5 linked regions of the Cricetulus griseus genome follow. The protein of the gene in region 3 binds, or shares a complex with, the protein of the main gene of each other region. Links are inferred from orthologs where the notes say so. Each region holds a gene or a part of one and is shown on either strand. Other genes may lie near its edges.

The links. The genes of interacting proteins can lie anywhere in the genome.
Region 1: Ripk3 (region 3) and Zbp1 share a complex: the UniProt entries of both Homo sapiens proteins name them as parts of the AIM2 PANoptosome complex. The link is inferred for Cricetulus griseus from reciprocal best matches to the Homo sapiens genes RIPK3 and ZBP1.
Region 2: Ripk3 (region 3) and Casp8 share a complex: the UniProt entries of both Homo sapiens proteins name them as parts of the AIM2 PANoptosome complex. The link is inferred for Cricetulus griseus from reciprocal best matches to the Homo sapiens genes RIPK3 and CASP8.
Region 4: Ripk3 (region 3) and Ripk1 share a complex: the UniProt entries of both Homo sapiens proteins name them as parts of the AIM2 PANoptosome complex. The link is inferred for Cricetulus griseus from reciprocal best matches to the Homo sapiens genes RIPK3 and RIPK1.
Region 5: Ripk3 (region 3) and interferon-inducible protein AIM2 share a complex: the UniProt entries of both Homo sapiens proteins name them as parts of the AIM2 PANoptosome complex. The link is inferred for Cricetulus griseus from reciprocal best matches to the Homo sapiens genes RIPK3 and AIM2.

What each region holds. Positions count from the first base shown.
Region 1 is NC_048599.1:6,098,758-6,102,846, forward strand, and holds the start of Zbp1 (Z-DNA-binding protein 1), read left to right. Parts: upstream 1-1,289; 5' UTR 1,290-1,421; intron 1,422-1,634; 5' UTR 1,635-1,795; coding exon 1,796-1,835; intron 1,836-3,542; coding exon 3,543-3,779; intron 3,780-4,089.
Region 2 is NC_048595.1:413,109,832-413,114,088, forward strand, and holds the start of Casp8 (caspase-8), read left to right. Parts: upstream 1-1,457; 5' UTR 1,458-1,543; intron 1,544-4,257. UniProt on the Homo sapiens protein: Thiol protease that plays a key role in programmed cell death by acting as a molecular switch for apoptosis, necroptosis and pyroptosis, and is required to prevent tissue damage during embryonic development and adulthood.
Region 3 is NW_023276807.1:210,982,377-210,986,383, reverse strand, and holds the start of Ripk3 (receptor-interacting serine/threonine-protein kinase 3), read left to right. Parts: upstream 1-1,207; coding exon 1,208-1,227; intron 1,228-1,442; coding exon 1,443-1,586; intron 1,587-1,708; coding exon 1,709-2,018; intron 2,019-2,429; coding exon 2,430-2,575; intron 2,576-2,699; coding exon 2,700-2,746; intron 2,747-2,905; coding exon 2,906-3,073; intron 3,074-3,176; coding exon 3,177-3,244; intron 3,245-3,467; coding exon 3,468-3,815; intron 3,816-3,917; coding exon 3,918-3,978; intron 3,979-4,007. UniProt on the Homo sapiens protein: Serine/threonine-protein kinase that activates necroptosis and apoptosis, two parallel forms of cell death. Necroptosis, a programmed cell death process in response to death-inducing TNF-alpha family members, is triggered by RIPK3 following activation by ZBP1.
Region 4 is NC_048596.1:253,842,802-253,846,913, forward strand, and holds the start of Ripk1 (receptor-interacting serine/threonine-protein kinase 1), read left to right. Parts: upstream 1-1,312; 5' UTR 1,313-1,450; intron 1,451-1,587; exon of another isoform or gene 1,588-1,742; intron 1,743-4,112. UniProt on the Homo sapiens protein: Serine-threonine kinase which is a key regulator of TNF-mediated apoptosis, necroptosis and inflammatory pathways.
Region 5 is NC_048598.1:19,572,058-19,576,115, forward strand, and holds the start of interferon-inducible protein AIM2, read right to left. Parts: upstream 2,801-4,058; 5' UTR 2,652-2,800; intron 1,720-2,651; exon of another isoform or gene 1,701-1,719; intron 1-1,700. UniProt on the Homo sapiens protein: Sensor component of the AIM2 inflammasome, which mediates inflammasome activation in response to the presence of double-stranded DNA (dsDNA) in the cytosol, leading to subsequent pyroptosis.

The DNA of each region.
Region 1 (4,089 bases), on a different chromosome or scaffold from region 3:
CTGGGTCCTCTCACACCAACCGTGATAATTCTCTCACAGACACATCCACAGCCAATCAGACCTGGGCAACCCTGCAACCGAGACTCCCTCAGATGGCCCTGTACTCAGCTGCCTGCTGAAACTGCCTAGGATACCCGTCCTTTGCTCCTTCCTGCCAGAAGGAGAGCATGTGTGACAGGTGGAACTCCAGCAACCCTTGAAAAACTTAAGCACAGAGGCTACAAATGGCAGAGCAACAGTTTAAAAAGAAGCCGGGTGGCTGCACCAAATCTGGAGTACCTGGAGTCTTGTGTCATGCACAAGAGGGAAAAGGTCCATCTGCCCAGTCCACAGCTGTGGAGGCTTGGGATAATCCCAGCATTGAAAATTGGCTTGAGGTTTTTCTTAAACAAAGACAAAGAATAAGAAATAATCCAAAAGTTTAGAAGGATTTTGGCCAGGCAATGGTGGAGCACGCCTTTAATCCCAGCCCTCGGGAGGCAGAGGCAGGCGGATCTCGGTGAGTTCCAGGCCAACCTGGTCTACAGAGCGAGTTCCAGGATAGGCAGGGCTACACAGTGAAACCTTGTCTGGGGGGACGAGGTGGGGGGTTGTCCAAGAGGTATTGTGATACAGTCCTGCCACTCAAGAAATGATAATGGAGGGGTCAAGAATCTGAATTCAGGCTTGGCTACAGAGTGGGACCCTGTCTCAAAAATTAAAAACAATAAAGAATAGGGAATGCTGAGATGTTCACAGCAGAACCCCAGTGTCAGGTTCTCATGGCATGTCCTGAAGCCCAGCCCTCTAGGGCCAGAGCCACCTTGGCCAAGGACCAAGCAAGACCCCCAGGCAAGAGCCGGTTGATGAGAGGGCACCACCTAGTGGTTGGTCCCCAAATAGCCCCTCTAGGGAGCCTGATGTCCCTCAACTGGCTCAGCTGAGTGTTTAAAGGGTGACCTTATTTATTTGGGGGGCTCAACGGGCTGTACAATTTTCTGTTTCCCTTAGCTGCATCTGCAGGCTCTGGGTTTCCCCCTGGAAGTCATAAAAATCATTTGGAAATTTTAAAGTTTCCCCATGCACAGGCCGGTGGAACTGGCTGTGTGGAACTGGCCTGGCCGTGGCCTGTCCAGTGACAAGGCTGACTGGGGACCTGCAGCTTGCTTTGCAGACATTTTGCAGGTACATATATACCTCCTTCTGGTCTCCATTTCCTGCTCCTGTCATGCCCTATGCACTAATGCTAACCGGTGCCAAGGACCTCCCTCCTGCAGCTGGGACCCAGATTCAGGGTTATTGTAGGCTGAGTTGTGGGCACGAGGCCATCTCTGTGAGCTCAGTCCCTTAGTCTGTAATTGGAACAGAGTGATGTCCGAACTGTTCGAGGACCACTGACCTCTTTGAGAATGTATGAAAGTGAGGGGCTCCTTTTCTAGAAGGTATGTGGATGACAGTACTAGTCCTGCCCTGTCAGCAAGTAGGGAATGCGCAGTAGGTACCTTTTTCCTAGTGGGAGTCCAGATAGGCAGTTCCCACCCCAGAGGCCAAGACTCCTCTCATCCCCGTCATTTATTCAGCTCCAACTTGCTCACCCCACCCTGATTTCAACGTTTCTTTCGAGAACCACCAAGTTTCATTTTCTCTTTCTCCAGAAAGCTGGGTGGATGGAGCCAGATGGGTGCTCGTTTCCGGGGTGGAAACATATGGTGTCTGCAGCTCCAAGAAGCCGCTCTTCTTCTGTGGACACGGCCTCAGGCCTGGCCACAGTTCGGGAATCTGCCACCCCCCGCCCCAAAGGTGCCCTGAGGTTGCCATGAGCATGGCAGAAGCTGCTGTTGATCCGAGCACAGGAGGTAAGCCGGGCGAGCCTCTTCCTTCCCCCACGCAGCGTGGACCCTGGGCTGGTTTCTAAGGCTCCTTCTAATTCTTTGCTTGGCCCAGACAGCAGCAATATTCTGAGGACATCAGAGCTCAGGAAGCAGGCACCACAAGAAGCTAGCTTGCTTCGGGGACCCTGTGCGTCACACTTTGACCCTTGCTTAGGCTGGTTCCTAACAGCCCTCAGGCACAAGTGGTAGCTCTCACCTCACAGACAGGTCACTGAGGCCTTCGATGGGCTTCAGGCTCTGAACTGTGAGAGGGGACTTTGTTTTGATAAGAAGATTTGGCTCTGATTCTATGTTCATGCTCTTCTCTCCGCTACAGGGCAGTGCGAGGCTGTGGGTGAAAGACTGTATGAGGCGAGGCTATCGGGGCCGTGCAGCTGTGGACAGGATTTACTTTACTGCTTTTCTTCATTGTTTCGAAACTTTTTTTAAAGATATGCTTATTTACTGTGTATACAGTGTTTTGCCTGAATGCACGGCTGTGCTCTGGTCAAAGAAGCACCAGGTCTCATTCTAGGTGATTGTGAGCCGCTCCGTGGTTCCCGGGAGCCACACTCAGCACCTCTGGAAGGGCAGCCACTGCTCTTAACTCCTGAGCCATCTCTGCAGCCCCCAAAGTCACCCTTTTCCATTCTCGCACCATGCTAGGGCATGTTGCTCAAAGGCAGAGGAGCCAGGGCAGTGGCAGGTTCAGGGCCAGGTGGAGAAGACCAGAAACTAACCCTCACCTGGTCCCTGTGGCTTCCTAATACTCTCCTTGCCAGCCAGTCACCACCATCCATTCCTTCATGCTCACCCTTTGGAGAAAGCTCTGCCTGTGTGCCCTTAGGAGTCAGTGGGAGAAGGGAGGGCAGGAGAGCCCACTGCAGGACATACACGCCCCAGCAGAGAAAAAGCAAGCAGAGTGGAAGCCCAGCCCTATAATCCCAGCAGGGGAGGGGGTGGCTGAGGCAGGAGGATTGCTGTGAGTTCCAGGCCAGCCTGAGATATATGGTGAGACCTTGTCTCAAGAGGAAAAACAAAGGAAGGTAGAAGCAGGCAGATGGAAGGAACCAGAAGGAGCACGAGGTGGAACTTGGGTGGCTCTTGGGGTCAGGCGCAGAGGAGGCTGGGCAGGGAGCAGAGGTCCATCGGATCTCTAGGTAGAGGGTGCTGGAGGGAACCATTCTGGAGTTGGTGGTCACCTGGGAGACTAGTAATGCTACCAGGAAGATGTCATTGAGGCTGGGGTAAGGGAGAAAAAAGTAAGTGGGAGGTATCTGAGCTGCGTTTTCAGGGCTCCTGATCCACCTGGAATGGGAAGGGAGACCTAGGAATGCCCATGGCATCCATGGGAGATGGAGAGAAAGGGACTCTCCATACAGGCTGGAAGAGGCACCAGGCAGCGTGGAGGGGCTTCCGGGCCAGGCTTGGCTCCATCATCTGAGAGCTGAGGGCTCCTACCTGTCTGGGGTTCCACACCAATACACAGGACAGCATGTACACTCCTCTGCCGTATGAGTGCATCCCACCATTCAGCCATGGGGCCAGGGTCCACTCAGTCTGACACTCTTGCCTCTCAGTGATTCCTCGATGCTGTCGGCTCTGGGTTCTCGTATCTTTCTTACCTCTGGAGATGGGTGCTAGCCTCCAATGGGGGCTGGGCTTGACTCTTCTCTCTGTTCCTCCCCCAAGACAATCTGGAGCAAACGATCCTACAGATACTGAGTGGAGCCGGCGGCTCTGTGAAGCTCCCCAAGCTGGTAAAGGAGTGCCAAGTGCCCAAGAAAACACTCAACCAAGTCCTTTACCGCCTAAAGAAGGAGGGAAAAGTTCACTCACCAGCCCCTGCCACATGGTGTTTAGGCAGGGATGCTCCTGGAGATGAGGCTCCTGCAATCCCTGAGGACCCCACTGCCCAGCCCACCCTCGGTAATCTGTCATTTGGGGGCACAGCAGACTCCCCTCAAGGGCCATCTTGACAATGGGCAAGTCCAGGTTCAGGCTTGGCTTTCAAATCTGAGCTCTGCCATCCTCTCTTTATCTTTTGATTTCTTTTCACCAATAGGGCTTGTACGTGGTAGGTGTGAGGTAGACACTAGCAATAGTAAAGGCACAATCCAGGCAATTGTCACAATGACAGTAGGGATTCACTCGGAGCCACTGAGCAGAGAGGGCTCACAGCTCCATTGCTGATGCTGTACCCAAGGCCACCTAGCCTTCAGCAACTCCTGCAGTTGGA
Region 2 (4,257 bases), on a different chromosome or scaffold from region 3:
CTCATGAAACTAAAATGCTTCCGTATAGTAAAGGAAATGTTAACTGGGCAAAGAAACAGGCATACAGAATGGGAGAAAAAAATCTTTACACACTGTGTATCTGACAAAGCATTGGCATCTAGACTATACAAAGAACTAAAATAGTAAGCAATATGAATGGAAAAAACCCAGTTAACAAATGAGCTAATGGAATGAACAGGTGGTTCTCAAAAGATGAAATACAGCTTGACTAAGGGGGCAAAAGCACTTGCCATCAAGCCAGACAACCTTAGTTCCATCCCTAGAACACAAACCATGGAAGAGGACAGACTTCCAAAAGTTGTCTCCTGACTTCCACAAGTGGCAAGGATGCTCCTCACTCTCAAATAAACAAACAAATGGTTAAAAAAAATTACAAATAGCTAAAATCCGTGAAGAAATGCTCCACTTTACTAGCCATCAGAGAAGTGTGAATTAAAGTACATTGAGATTCCACTATATCCCTATTAGAATAGCAGTCATTAAGATAACAAATAACAACAAATGCTCCAAAGAAATTAGATAAAAGGGACCCTTCTACCATTCTGATGGGACTGTAAGCTGGGCTGGCCTCTGGAAAATCAACATTGAGGTTGTTCCAAAAATTAACAATAGATCTACCATGCAACCCAGCTGCAGGTATGCACAGGACTAAGTCAACATATCATGGAGACATTTGCATATCCATAGTTATTCACAAGAGCTAAATTATGGAACCAACCCGACAATTATAAGCAGAGGAATGGATTAGGAAAATGTGGCATTTTACACACACACACACACACACACACACACACACACACACACACACACCAATCACACAAACAGAAATTTTCAGCCACAAAGAAAAGAGTATTTAATTACTTATTTAGATATTCAAAATCTTGCATAAAAAAATAAAATCCACCTGGGCAGTGACAGTACACGCCTTTAGTCCCAGTACTTGGGAGGCAGAGGCAGGTGGATCCCTGTGTTTGAGGCCAGCTGGGTCTACAGATCGAGTTCTAGGACAGCCACGCTACACAGAGAAACCCTGTCTCCAAAAACCAAAACCAACCAACCAACAAAAAAAAAAAAAAAAAAAAAAAAAAAAAAAAAAAAAAAAAAAGAAAAAGAAAGAAAGAAAGAAAGAAAGAAAAGACAATTATTTGCAGGAAAATGGACAAAAACTGAGATAATCATATTAAGTAAACTGAGCCAATCTCAGAAAGACAAATGTCATTTGCTTTTATCATTTGTGGTTCCTAGATTTTATATAGTTACATAAACTGGTGAGTACGGCATGAACGTAGAAGTGAAACTATCTTGAGAGTGGGGGACAAAGGAACTAACAGGAGATCCTCAGCATACCCGAGGTCAGCCCTCTTCCTCCTGCCTTCTGTACCGCCTGTGCCAGGAGAGCAGGAAGTAGACAAGGTCTAGCCTCCAGGTCTGGGTTTCCCTCTGCCTGCCACACACTCCAGAGAAGGGGCTTGGGAGCCAAGTGCCCTTGGTGAAGACCTCGCTCGGGTTTGTTTCTGATAAGGTCAGTTGAACTTTTAAGGGGGAAGGATCATGATTCTAGAACTTTCTAGGTTTCCGTGGGATCTGGAGTCCACATGGCTGTAGAGGGATTCAGGGTTTGAATACTGGAAGGGAAGCCAGGAGCTTTATCTATGTGGGTAGCTGCCCGCTGCCCTCTGTGGGCCTTCTGCCACCCCACCCCACCCGACCCCATAGACGTGCTTCTGGTGTTTCTGGAACACAGCAAGTACAGCCGTCTATTGGAAGGCACCTCCTTGAAGAGAAACCAAAATTTTAAAATTTCAACTGACTTGGCCGCTCCATTTCCTGATCCACTTACCTGCCCCCACATTTTCTGATATACACATGCAAACCCCAAACACAAACACTATCTTAGCGATCTGAATATAAATACACACACACCCACACACCCACACACACACACACACTGCAGTCCACCGAACTACCTCTCCAGCCTATCATTTCTCTTAAAAAAGAAACAGGACCGTCCGGAGAACGAAACAGTAAGGAAGGAGAGATAAAAACTCAGAAATCTGTACTGGCAGCGAGGTTAGACGTCTTACACTTAACGTTTAATTAGAAAATGATGGCGTTGGCTGTATATTTTATTGAGGTTTGACTGCCTTTGCTGGTATGTATGGAACACCTGCCTACAGAGGCTTCGTGGTAGGATCTTGGAGAGGCAGAGCTTGGTTAGAGCCCCACTTCCCGGAGCTCCCTTGCCTGGTGGCAGAGGTGTCACTAACAGTTACACTTGGCCTGAGAGAGCCTTTGGATGACTGTAAACTTTTATCCCTGGAAAGTCCTAGCAAGTTGCATTTTATGCTCCCACCCGGCATATTGGAGGTAGTTCTCTAAGTGGAAATAGTTCTCTAAGTCACGGGAGGAGCGGGCTGTGCCTATTATTCAAGGAAGGATAGTGATTAGACAGTCAACTGAGGCACGTGGCAGAGCCCGAGTGAGCTTCCGCTCTAAGGTAGACTACTCCTTGCTCCTCAATGGTGGGCCAGCCACATTCAAGGAACAGCTTTTTCCCGTTTTTCTTTTTTTCACTTTTAATATTTCTGAAAATTTTGATTATTTGAAAATATGATTATTTGTTTTTCTGTTGCATCTAATAGTAAATAGAATAAAATAGTATATCTTTTTATGAGTGTGTGTGTGTGTGTGTGTGTGTGTGTGTGTGTGTGTGTGTTTTCTTCATGTGCTTTCTATCTGGGGTTTTTGCTGGACTGGAACTCACCAAGCAGCCAGGATAGGTTGGCTGGTATTACAAAAATTCTATGTTTTTATGGTGTGTGCTGTTGAAGCCCTTGAGTGACACATGGGAATCTGAGCCCATGTCAGACTAGGTGATCTAAGTTGTGACTTAAGGCAGTAGTAAAATGAAGTCTTCTTGTAAAATGAATTAAGAGAAATGTTGTATGCTGATATGGATGCTTCTGAACACTTACAAGTCATAACAGACATTTACTTCCATTGAAAGATTATAGGTCATACATATATAAAATATTAAATGCTCTTGTATATTATAGTGTGCAAGCATATTTAATGAGATTATTTGACGGCAATAATAGCACATATACATGATATGACCAACTTCTCAAATTTATTTATACTTACACACTTAGGCAGAAATGTGAATAAATTTCAGCACAAAATGCCAAATGTAAACAGAGAATTATTTCAAAGTGTTAGGATTTAAAAGATTTTTATGCTTTTCTATACTTTCTCTGTGAGGTGTTTCCAGGAACAGAAGAACATAGCAGCAAGCATTATTTAAAAAACACTAACAATGGTAATTTCCTGTGAGTTCAGTCTAGGTCCCATAAAAAAAAAAAAAAAAAAAAAAAAAAAAAAAAAAAAAAAAAAAAAAAAAAAAAAAACGAGACCACAGGTAGTCTCTGTAGTCTCTGTTCTTACAGAGCAGGCAGTCTAGCAGCAGTTTTTTTTTTTTTTTTTTTATGTCTCTTAAATTCCACGAAACTGATTGCTTTTGGGATGCTATGACTAGAAAAACATGTGTGACCTAAACAAAAACAGCCAAATAAGACTGAATGTTGTGGGCCATGGAGTGTCTTAGGAAGCTAAGAAAAGTGCCTGTTAACAGTTAGGACTTGTTTGTTACATTATTGCCAAGGTGATGAAATGAGTGAGTTGTGATGTGCACAGGGCCAGAGGCCAGTCACATTATGTCAAAGCTCACTGTCATAGTGGCCTCAGATAAAAATGGGTGGGTGCTTTTGTTTTGTTTTTCTGTAAGAAAATGCTGTTAAAAAGACATGAACGTGGGAAGGAAACTTGTGAGGAAGAGGGAGGGTGACAAGGATAAACATATGTACACCTATGAAATGGTCAAAGAACATGCTTAACCAATTAAAACAATTACAAGCTTTAAAATAAGAGAAAATATTGTTGAATATGTGACAACTGAAAAGGCTTATTAATGTAATTTCTTGATCTTGTAATATTACTTACAGGAAAATATCCTAAGGACATAGGAGTACATTCAGAAATTTGAACTTTCAAACCATCCTAAATTTAATAAGGCTGAGTCTGGAGAGATGGCTCAGTGGTTAAGAGCACTGACTGGTCTTCCAGAGAACCCAGGTTCAATTTCCAGCACCCACATGGCAGCCCATAACTGTCTGTAACTTCAAGATCTGACACCCTCACACAGACATACATGCAGAGAAAACACCAATGCACATAAAA
Region 3 (4,007 bases):
AGAACTCCAAGAGCACACTGCTGCACGCATCACACCATCCCCAGCCACCTGCACCTGTTCAGGCACACTTAGATAGCATTTGCAAAAAATAAACTAGCTTGAGCTTGAGGACGGGGCAGGGAGGACAGCTTAATGGGTAAAGCTCTCATCGTGCAAGCACAAGGACCTGAATTCAAATCCCACAACTCAAGCGAAACTGGGAACAGCAGCCCATGTCTGTGTCCCAGTGTTCCTACAGTAAGATGAAAGGCAGAGACAGGAGAATGCTGGGACATCCACAGGCTAGCTAGCATTGTGCAAACAGCAGAGAACAACAAAGACACCCTATCTCAAACAAGGTGTAAGATGAGGCCAAACCCCCAAGGCTGTCCTCCGACCTCCATACACATGTCATTAAATTCACCCACCCCCATGTACATGGATGTGCACAACATAAATAAATTTTTTAAATAAACAAATAAGCCAAGCATGGTGGCACACACCTTTAATTTCAGCAGAGGCAGGTGGCCCTCTGTAAATCCAGGTTCAGCCTGGTCTATATAGCAAGTTCTGGACCAGCCAGGGCTACATAGAGAGACCCCCCCTCTCTAAGTAAATAAATAAATAAGGGCTAGCTTGGTGGAACAGAACCAGCTTCTAAGCTATTTCCATAAATTGCAAATGCTTGGATTTCCTGGTCTATAGAAAGGTAAATAAGGTTGATGCAAAATTAAAGAAGCCATTATGTGTATGTACCTGGTCCAAGGCAAGCCTTATTAGAAGCACTACCCATGATTCTGGAGAGTTGAGTCTAAGACCATAAAATCTTCATCCTCCCCTCAGCCCACTGTGGTTGGCAAGCTGCGAAGACAAACTCTTGTGCGGAGCACACTCAGTAGTGCCCAGTTACTCCTCAGGTGGAAGCAGTTCTAGCAGGTGCACAGAATGAACAGCCCCAAGTTTCCATTTGCCCCACCCCGGGGGCAGGACCGCAGAAGCGCCCGCCCTTTAACTTTATGAAGGAAGTTGTTCAGTAACTCATTCGAAGTAGGAGAACGACCTGGGAAGCGGAATTCGGGACCTGGACCTCCGTGCCTGGACCAATATAGATCAATCCTTTGCAGGCCCTGTCTTCCTCTAAGCCCAAACCCCGAGCCGAGCGGTAGACGTCCTTCCCGCTCTTTCTGTGCACATAACGCCGCCGCCGCCGGGAAGCCGCTAGCTCCTGATGTCTTCTGACAAGTTATGGTGAGTGGGGAGTGAGCCTTGGATCCTCAGCTCCACAAGGACACTCCGGGACACACTCAGGGGGCGCTTTTGCTTTGCCGGTCCGGGTGGGCCGCGGGGTGTCGGGGGGGGCGGGGTGCTGACACACTTGCCCAGCGGGCAGCCGCGGAGCTCGGGTGACAGAGGATGCGCTGACGTGGAGATGGGCCCCCTTCCGGACGAGAACCTTCTCTCAGGCCCTTTGATGCCTCGGCGGCCTCTCTCGTGTCCCGTGAAGAACTGAAGAACCCGAAGTTTGTAGGCAAAGGCGGTTTCGGTGTAGTATTCCGTGCACATCACAAAAAATGGGGCCATGATGTTGCAGTCAAGATCGTGAACTGGTGAGTGATCCCAGCTGTAGGCAGGATCTGGTCAAGGAGCCTGAAGGGACAAGTAGGGGTGGGGGGTGGGGGGGGAGGTCTTCCAGGGTCCCACCCAACTGTGGCTCCCTTTCGGAGTGTAGGGAGGCGATATCCAGGGAGGTGAAAGCTATGGCGAATCTTCGTAACCAGCACGTGCTGCTCCTGCTGGGGGTCACCGAGAACCTCGAGTGGAACTACGTGTCTGGGCCGGCTCTGGTGACAGGATTCATGGAGAACGGCTCCGTCGCCAGGCTGCTGCAGCCCTGGTGCCCTCGGCCCTGGCCTCTCCTCTGTCGCCTGCTGCAAGAAGTGGTGCTGGGGATGTGTTACCTGCACAGCTTGAACCCAGTGCTCCTGCACCGGGACCTCAAGCCCTCCAATGTCCTGCTGGACTCAGAGCTCCACGCCAAGGTCAGCCCATCTACACCCTAGTGCAAGCTTGGGACCATGCTAAATACCCTCGGTCTGTCCCTCTGAATACCAGACTACGCAGGTCAACCAGGAATTTTATCTATGGCCATACCAGGTGACAGAGCCCTCCTTACCCACCTGGGTCAGTTCCACAGGCCTATTCCACAAAGCCCCCCACCCCCACCCCATGGACCCAGGCTGACTTATCCCAGAAACTCTGACGTACTTAGACCCAGACCCATCAGCAACTTAGATCTCCTCCCTTAGGCCTCATTGACTCTGCCTTTCCCTCTGGCCCTCAATACCACCTTCAAAAAGCTGAGGCTGCATCTTCTGGAGGAGACAGAGGGAAGATTCTGGAGAAGGACTGGCCCCCTTCATCTAATGCCTCCCTCTTCCTTTCCTTTACAGCTAGCAGATTTTGGACTGTCCACATTTCAGGGAGGGTCACAGTCAGGGTCAGGGTCCAGGAATACAGGGGGTACCCTAGCTTACTTGGCCCCAGAGCTATTGGTTAATGTCAACCGGAAGGCTTCCCCAGCCAGTGACGTCTACAGGTAAGCTACCCACTCCAAAACATCCCAAATTATTTCTACGCTTCTTTGAGCCCTTCTAAAGGATGTGATACGGGAAAGTGATCTTGCCGTGGGCCAGCTAAGCCTCCATTTTGTGTCTGTGCAGCTTTGGGATCCTCATGTGGGCAGTGCTGGCTGGAAGAGAAGCCGAGTGTAAGACTCTAGATGGACTCTGATACTCTTTCACCCTTATCTACTCAGCTGCCCCCTTCCCACCTCACCCCTTCCTTAGATGGCACTCCCTGCTCCTGTCCATGATATGTCTCCTCATACCACCAACCCCTTCTGTTATCACCGCCCCCCCCACTCCAGTGGTAGACCAGACATCACTAGTTCGTGACGCAATCTGTGAAAGGCACAATCGACCAGCATTGTCAGAACTGCCTCCACACAGCCCTGAGACTCCTGGCTTGGAAGTACTGAAGGAGTTAATGATACATTGCTGGAGTCCTGAGCCCAAGGACAGGCCATCCTTCCAGGGTGAGTTGGCTGTTTCTCTAGCAGCTAGAATAGGCTTGAATAGGCAGGAAGCTTCACCCAAGGAAAGCTCTGCTCTCCTACAACTCACTTGGCTGTCTTTCAGATTGCCGACCAAAAACCAATGATACCTACATCCTGGTACAGGACAAGGTAGATGCTGCTGTCTCCGAGGTAAGTTTTCAAAACTGCCTTTCCGCCCAGGAGCTATTCAGCAATGGCACATGTGGCTCCCTTGACCGTCCAATGTGTCTTCACTGCCCTTGTTTTTTAATTCTTGGCCATCATTCTTGCCCACCCCAACCTACCTCTGAGTCTCCCTCCAGGTAACAGATTAGAAATCAAGAGGATACTCCCCTGGGGCTTACTCTGGCTCCCCTAACTCCCATCTGTGCAGGTAAAGCAGTATCTGTCTCGGCGGCGCAGAAACAGCGACACTAAGTTGTCTGTCCTAGAGCCAGGCCCTAGCGGTGCAGAAATGGATAGCCCTGGGGAAAGCACAGTTTCTGAAATGCTGGACCATCTGCAGCTGGAGGGGTCCCCCAGGCCGGTTCCTGAAAAGGGCACACACCTTACTGAGAGGGGAAGAACCCAGGAAGAACCAACTGGGCATGCCACAGCAGCAGTGACATCTTCAGATACAGTGGCTGGAACTCCCCAGATGCCACATACTATACCCTTCAGAGGCCCAACACCCGGCCCAAACTCTGCCGAGACCCCAGGTCCTAACCCCCAAAGGAATGAGGTGAGACACTGGCAAGACCAAGGAAAACTTAGGGTTGAGGGGTGCACAGTGATGGAACTAGCCTCTTGAATAGAAAGCCTGAGAACTCTGTGCTGTTTGCAGGGATATGAAAGATATGGCACCCAATGGTCCTCCAGGGCCCCAGGGCCAAATCCAGCAGCAGGTACCTGTTCTTCACCCTCTATTGCTCCC
Region 4 (4,112 bases), on a different chromosome or scaffold from region 3:
CAGCTCAGGGCTCCTTCAGCAAGCAGGCAAACATAATGGATCTGAATTCAAATCCCTGGAACCTGTGTTAAAAAAAAAAAAAAAAAAAAAAAAAAAACCCTGGCCATGGTGACACTCATGATGCCAAGACCAGAGATGCAAAGACAGGCAGGTTCTTGAGGCTCACTAACCAGAATACTTAGCCTACTACACAAACGAAAGGTAAGTGAGTCCTTTCCTGTTTTAAAAAAAAAAAAAAAAAAAAAAAAAAAAAAAAAAAAAAAAGAGGTGTGTACTTAGAGGGAGATACTGGAGGTAGTCTTCTGGCCTTCACATATGCGCACTTTTGCACACACACCCTCAAGCCCCTCCAAATAAACAACAAAAAAGCTCAACCTAGGTACATGTGTTTGTTCATCAAATTTATGTTCACTTGGGTACATGCCAGTGTGTGAAACTGCTAAGTCACACAGTAACCGTAAAGGTAACATTCTGTATTCCTTCCATTTGTGAATGTTGGGCATTTTATGTTTACTTTGAGTCAAAGGTGAGTTTCCCATAATGCCCTATGACATTGAACATCTTTTTAATGTTATCTGCATGTTTAGGTTTCTGTTAAAATGGTTGTGAATTTTCTTAAGATGGTGGTTGTGTGCATGCATTAGTAAGACTTCTTTATCATGTCTTTTGTAATCCTCTCTCTTTCCACTAATTATCTTTTGAGAATAAGTGATCATTGCATTATCGTGCAACTTAATGACACCAGTAATAACACTTTTTGTTTTTTTTGGCCTTGAGATTTCACAATTACCATTTCAGAGGGCTACAAAATAATCACATTTCGTCCTCCACAGCCCGCCGTGGCAGATGAAGGCTCATTTGCCAGCTCTCAATCGCCACTGTCGCACTCGGTGTTTTCCAGCTGGCCAGGGTGACTCAGCCCTGACAGAGCAGCTAGGAGCACCTCTTTTCAAGGGCTCTCTCAGAACGAGCCGAAAAGCAAAGCAGAACTGGCATCGTTTCCGCGGGCAGGCCTCCGGGATCGACGTGGGAACCGTCGTGATCGGCGGAACTCACTGCCCAGCGGGCCCTGCCGCACTCACCGCCCCGGGGCGTGAGCAGAGGCGGAGACAGAGGCGGACGCAGCCTAGCGCCGCCCCACCCAGCGAAGCTCCGGTGTAGGAGGACGAGCGGACCCGGAGAGGCGTCGCGAGCGCGGGTGTCGGTGCCGCTCACCTCGCGGGGGTCGCAGGGCCGCGCGGGCGCTCAGAGAAGCGCGGTGTCCGGTGAGCCTGGGCGCGGCTGGGCGCCACTCCTGCACCGAGCTCGGTCCCTGCGTCCTCCGCACGGCCCAGGAGCCGTCCTGGCTGGGCAGCCACGGCGAGGCGCAGCTCCTGTCGCCCCTGCCCTCGGGTCGGTGTGCTCACCTGGGCCGGAGTGCCTGGCCGCGGAAAAGGAAAGTAACTCTGAGGTAAGGCAGCGCGGAGGCCGCGGCAGGGTCCGCCGCTCATTTCCTCCGCAGCTGGCTTCCCGGAAGGGGCGGCGACCGCGGGATTCCAGCGCGTGGGCCGGAGGGCGGGCCTCGTTTTCCGGAAGCGGGTGATGGGCGGGGCCGCCAGCATACCCGGAAGTCGAAAGGCGCGGGAGTTGCTGGGTGTCATCTAGCGGGAGGTTGAACTCTTTTTGAGGTGGTTTTAGCTCAAGTCGCGACAGAAAGTGGACATCTGCGCCGTGACCACGGTTGTGGAGTGACAGTGCGACAGGTGTTTCTCTTTCACTATTCTTTTGGTAGGGGTGATGGGTTATGGAAGCGTTAGTGCTCTAACAAGGTTGCCTAAATGTTTTGGACCTGCCAACCACGTTGTACTTCGGCCGCAGGGGGTTGCAGAGCTATGGGTAGCTTTCATCATTATCTCAGAGGTGAGCTAGCAAATGAGGAGCGATCCACGTCCTCAGTGAGAGAACAGTGTCAAACGTCCAAGGCTCCTCTGGTCCTCAGTGGCGTTTGCTTTTGTGGATTGCTGCAGCCCCCTCTGGGTTCTGAAGAAGATAAGCCACATCCTCTCCACCGGTGTTGGACAGAGCCTCCTGGGGTTGGATGGTTCGGTCCAGGGTGGCTCATTCTTTGCCTCTTGTAGGTCATTTTGATTTCCTTGCTCATTTATTTGGGGCAGAGTGAGGCTGTTTTAATCAGGAAATTCCACAAAAGTCCTTCAATCTTTAGAAAGCTATTAATTCTTTCTTAGCTCATGAAAACTCAATGGCAGTGTGAACTTTGAGATGTAATGATTTAGTCGTGTAATTTTGTACCCACTGGGAAGACACCACTAAGGCTTTGCTGTATATAAAAAATGAAGACTAGTTTTGTTTAAAATGAAACTTATTTTGTTTTATTACTGAAAAGTAGCAGTAACAGTTACCAACTTTAATTTTCATTTTTCTCTTTCTTTCCTGTTTTGAGCCTTGTACATAATGTTAAGTTTTCATGACTGTTGCAAACTGGGAATGGTTCTACTACTTATTAGTTCATAACATGTTAATATCACCAGTAGAATCTTGGAATTGAATCAAAAAGTATAGTTTCCCACACTTTGGTTGGATATTATTCTGGCATATGTGTCTTACTGTGAAGACATGGATAATATTAATTTTGTGTGTTTTGTTTTTCAAGACAGGGGTTTCTCTGTGTAGCCCTCGCTATCCTGGTTCTCCCTCTGTAAACCAGGTTGGCCTCAAACTTAGAACTCTGAGATCCATCCACCTGCCTCTGTCTCTCAGTCCTGGGATTAAAGGTGTGCACCACCACGCCAGCTGAGACAGGGTTTCTTTATGTAATTCTTATTATTCTAAAGCTAACTATGTAGAAGACCAGACTGGCTTTGAATTCCCAGAAATCTGCCTGCCTCTGCCTCCTTAGTGCTGGTATTAAAGGCATGTATCACTGTGCCTGGCAACAATTCGGTCTTTGCATCTGAGGTTTGATCTACATCTGGGGTTTTCAAATTTTTATTTGACTTTCTAGAAAGCAGCATGTATTAGAGAACTGAGAGTGGAAGTCTGAGAAGGGTAAGGTTTGAATCCATTCATTTCAGGTGAATCACTTAACCTCAACTTGTAGTTTCTTTATTTGTAAGGTGAAAATAGTCCTAATAAGATTAGTTCACGGGTCACAGTGTGCTAATGTATTTGATCATGCTTCATTGAATTTTATTCTAACTTTGTCTTTTGTTGATGGTTTGATTCCTTGTTCATTGCCCTGCTTGTGGACGAAGCACAGACTGTTTTAATTAAAGAATCCTGGAGATGGCTCCTGATCGTGTCACATACCTGAGTAAAGTCAGAATTCTGTTAGGGAAGACATGGGAAACAATACTCAATTGATATTCTCTCATTCCCTGATTCTCTGTCCTCCTGCTCTTATTATATATGATTGTCATTGCAAATTTAAGAGAAAATTAATTGGGTTTAAAGGGAGTCCAGCCATTGGGGGGGGGTTTGTATACACACACACACACACACACACACACACACACACACACACACACATTTCCTGAGGTAAGGTCTCACTGTGTAGTCCTAACTGACCTTGAATTCACTAAGTAAGCTTGAACTCAAATAGTGTATATTTACTATTTATATAATTTATAAATAGTACTATATTTATAATATAGTAAATAAATAAATACTATATATTTTCAAATGTAATACTATTTAATATATATATATATATATATATATATATATCCTATTTCTGCATTAATAATCATTTATCCCAAAACACTAGCAAATCCCATTGAAAAGGACATGGTATTAGTTGAAATTAGTTATGGCTTTCTATAACAGGTCAACATACCTTAGTTAATTTTTAAAGCACTGATTATCTGGCTTTCTACCTTACATTCAGTGTTTTTGCAGTCCTTGGGTCTTCCTCAGTACACTGCCCACATGGCTTTCTCAAAATACACTGCTTATAAGTTGACTGGGGCTCATCAGCACAGCACTTGACTGGCATGTGTGTGGCCCTGGGTTCTGTCTCCAGCCTGCCAGAAAACAGCAGCATAAACTTGAATCATTCAAGGGGAAAAAAATAAAAGCACGAAAGAAATAATTGAATATCCACCAAAGGAGGATTT
Region 5 (4,058 bases), on a different chromosome or scaffold from region 3:
ACACATTTTGGGTACTTTTGATGTTAATCAAACATATTGGGTTGATGTTATTTGTTTTTGTTTTTAATGTAGCTACTAGAAAAGTTAAATGTTGGGGAGCCCTTTTGAGGGCCTTACCCTGCCTGGGGAGAGATGGGGGGATGGCTAGGGGCAGCTGGGATGTTGGGGGGGGGGAGAAGAAGAAGGGATTGACATGTGAAACAAGCTTGTTCTTAATTTGAACTAATAGAAAAAAAAAGAAAAGTTAAATGTATGTACTTGTTTATATTTCTATTGGTCTCTACTTTCCTGGTACAGAGAATACTTGGGTTAGAATTCCATGTCTTTCCTTTTCTAGCTCTAAGATGGGAATCAAAGGCGTTTTCTAGTTCTTTGATGAAGCCCTGCCTGACAGTCCCTACTGCATAGACTCCACGTGAGATGTGACTGATTTCATAAGCAGGCAATCCATGAAGCATCCCTGACACCTGGTGTGCTCAACATATGCTATTATTATAGTTTGAAGTTTATATTTATCATGCTATGGGGAGAGCAAGAAACTGCAAGAGACTTAAATGTCAGAATTTGTCTCCTTCTTAGGAAAGTCTTGCAGCAAATGTCCATTCCTTCCCGTTAGATTCTAGATGGACGGCAGATGCCTAAAGCCTGTCCTCACGATGAGCTGCTCCACTTCAGGTCACTGCTTGCCGTTGCTTAAGAGTCTCTTCTTAATCACCTTCTTAAGAATCTCTAAAACCCACAGCTAACAGGTGGGTGTCCAGATTTAATTTAGAAAAGCACTCCAGTAAAAAAAAAAAAAAAAAAAAAAAAATGTGGCACCAAGCCAGGAGAGTAATGTGCTCTGACACTGCCTGATTTGTATTTATCTGATGGGGTTGGTTCCCCATCAGTTAAATGTAGATAATAGGAGATAAATGTGAGGATTTAATAAGCAGCATGGCAGATAGAGCTCTATAAGCCACACAGTGCCATGCCTATGCCAATATGCCCTCCTTTGAGACCCACTGCAGCAGGATGGGCCACGCTTCCCCCACGCCCAGAACATACAGTTGCTTCATGGGAGTATCCCTAAGGACCTTCACTCTGCGCTACTTTCCTTGCAAACTTGTCTGTGACTAAACAGCCAACCCCTACGGTGCAAAACCATCTAAAATTCCTTTCTAAAGAAATACAAAAAAAAAAATCAGCACTTATGAAATAAACTAGTAAATCAAGCAGTTGTTCACACATCAGCTCATTCTGTCCAGTCAGGCACCTTGCAAGTCTTTGAGGAAATCAGTCACCAATCAGGTAAGATTTCTTCATTATTATTCTGAAAAGTGTAAATTTACATAGTAGATAGTATGCAATAAGGATGTGGGCTGGGGGTATGTGGTAAGACTCAGATTAGGTGGTCACACTACGTCTCTTTGAGAAGGTAACATTGAAGCAACCTATGAATTACAGAGATGAATAGAAGCAGTGTTTCTAGATTCAGGGGAAGGTACACAGTACTAACGGAACTGGATTGTTCCCTTTAGCTAACTGTATGCAAGTTCACTTCACTGAAGTAGTAAACTTGATCTTACATGATTTCTCCAAAAGCTATCTCAAAAAGGCATTATTCTTTTTTTTAATTAGAAACAAGATTGTTTTACATGTCAATCCCAGTTTCCTCTCCCTCCCCTCCTCCCCTACCATCCCCCCAACCAAAACCCTACCTATCTCATATCCTTTCTCCTCCCCAGGAGGGTGAGGCGTTCCATATCCTTTGGGATAGGGCCTAGGCCCACCCCTGTGGGTCTTGGCTCAGGGAGAATTCCTCTATGTGGATTGGGCTCCCAAAGTCCACACCTATGAAAAAGGCATTATTCTTGACTAATGAAAAATGACTTGTCCCCACAAAATTTATAACATGGGACTTATGAAAACATGACCAGCATAATACACATCACTGCGTAAATACTCTTGAGCATATTTTTTAAAAAGAAGAAAGCAAACATGGATGGGAAATACCATAGGAAAGACGGTCACACAAAAATCCAAGCATTTCAAAGGACAGAATTCACAGAAATTAGACTCCCAGCTTTAAAAAGAATGCTAGGTGGATTAAAACCCACTGTAGGCATTATGGTGTTTACAAAAGACACACTGAGGGTATTATAATACTGAATAACAGGAAAGCAAAGAATGTGAGCATATGTATGAGTCAGACACTAAGCACAAAAAAAAAAAAACAGTTAGGTCAGTTATATTAATATTCGTCAGAGAAGATAATAAGACAAATAGTGTCATTAAGGACAGAGCTGCTATACAATGATTAAACATTAAAGTCACCAAGGCAACATAGAAATTCTAAGCACGTATGCACCTCATTGTTAAAATTAACAGCTCTAAGCAAAACTTGACAGTTCTCCACGAACAAATGACAAACCTACTCTGATAGTTGGAAATTACAAAACACTTCCTTCAGTAACTAAAGTTTCACATAGCCAAAAAAAGCAAAAAAGTAGAAAAGTTGAACAACATAATGTCCTGATAAATACTTAGAAGTACTTAGCACATTTTCAATAAGTCTACAAAGGTTATCAGCGAACTGTTTTCCTTTGTATTCTAATAAAATGTGACAGCCAAAAGCAACACAGGGAAGGAGTGGGTTTATTTTTACTCACAGTCCCAGGAGCGTGGATTTCAACACCACAGGGAAGGCGTAGCAGCCGACAGGGAAGGCATTATGGTTGGTCGCCACGTAGGGCATGAATCTGGCCAATTTCAGTTCTTGCTCATACAGGAAATAGCGGAAGAGTGAGACAGCCTGTCCCAGTGGTACACTTCATCCAATAAGGTTTCTTCAGAAAGTTCCACCTCCTAACACTACCAGAACCTTCCGAACCGCCAGTTGTATATTCAAACAACATAGTTATCATATGAATCATCGCTTTCTAAATTCTAGGAATTTACTATGAAAAGGAAAAATAAGATACAATTTAAATTATAGAAACTTAAAAATTGTTTCTCATACTTAATAAACTAAAAGAAATAGAAATTAAAAAGCATACATAATTTTTAAAAAATAATAAATGCCATGCCACTTGAACATCTGAGATTATGGAATATGTTATCTGTTTAGCATTTCTTTTTTGTTTTGTTTTTGTTGTTTGTTTGTTTGTTTGTTTGTTTTGGTTTTTCAAGACAGGGCTTCTCTGTGTAGCTTTGGAGTCTGTCCTGGAACTTACTATATGTAGACCAGGCTGGCAACAGACTTGCAGACATCCACCTGCCTCTGCCTCCCAAGTGCTGGGATTAAAGGCGTGGGCCACCACCTCTGGGCTATACTTGGCTTTTCTTAAATGGTAAGGTTACTTATAATAGAGTTTGGTGCTCTGCCACTTTCAAGCTAATGTTACATCATAGGCATTCTGCCACACCATTGTTACTATCTTTTATCTAGGAATAGCTCTCCAGTCCCTATGTTTCTTTCTCCTTCAGCTAGAAATCAAAGGCCCTCTTCCAAATATAAATTAAATTCATGTCAGTAAGACACCTACAGACCAAGGCTCCCAGAAAATCAGAGTTCCTTTTTAGGCGCAGTCTGGGTCAACCCTCTGAACAATATATTCTAATTCCTGCCACAGCCAACTGCATGTTCTTTTGTTAAAGGCTCAGTTGTGGTGAAATAATAATAATAATAAAAAAAAAAAGCTTCTATTCCTCAGTCAAGCGAAGGTTTAGAACCAGGCTTCCTGCAGCTTTATTCTTTTCTGGAGCATAGTCAATACTGATGCTCCTTTCCAACCCCAGAAACCTACAACTTCCATTTCCTCTTAATTTGCTATTAGCAAAAGGATCCTAAAGCTTTTTCTAGAAAAATTCTGACAAGGCTTACCTACTGGATTCCCTCTCCACAGCAGCCTCAGTTCTCAACTCAGGGATTAGTATATGCCCTAATAGTTTAAAGCTCTCCCTCACAAAGCTTTTCACTGCTAGTGGTAGGACATGAAAATCAGGTCTTGAGAGATGGAAAGTGGAAAGTGTGATTGGTTCCTTTCACTTAGAAACTTCCCTAGCCCTGGCCGTGT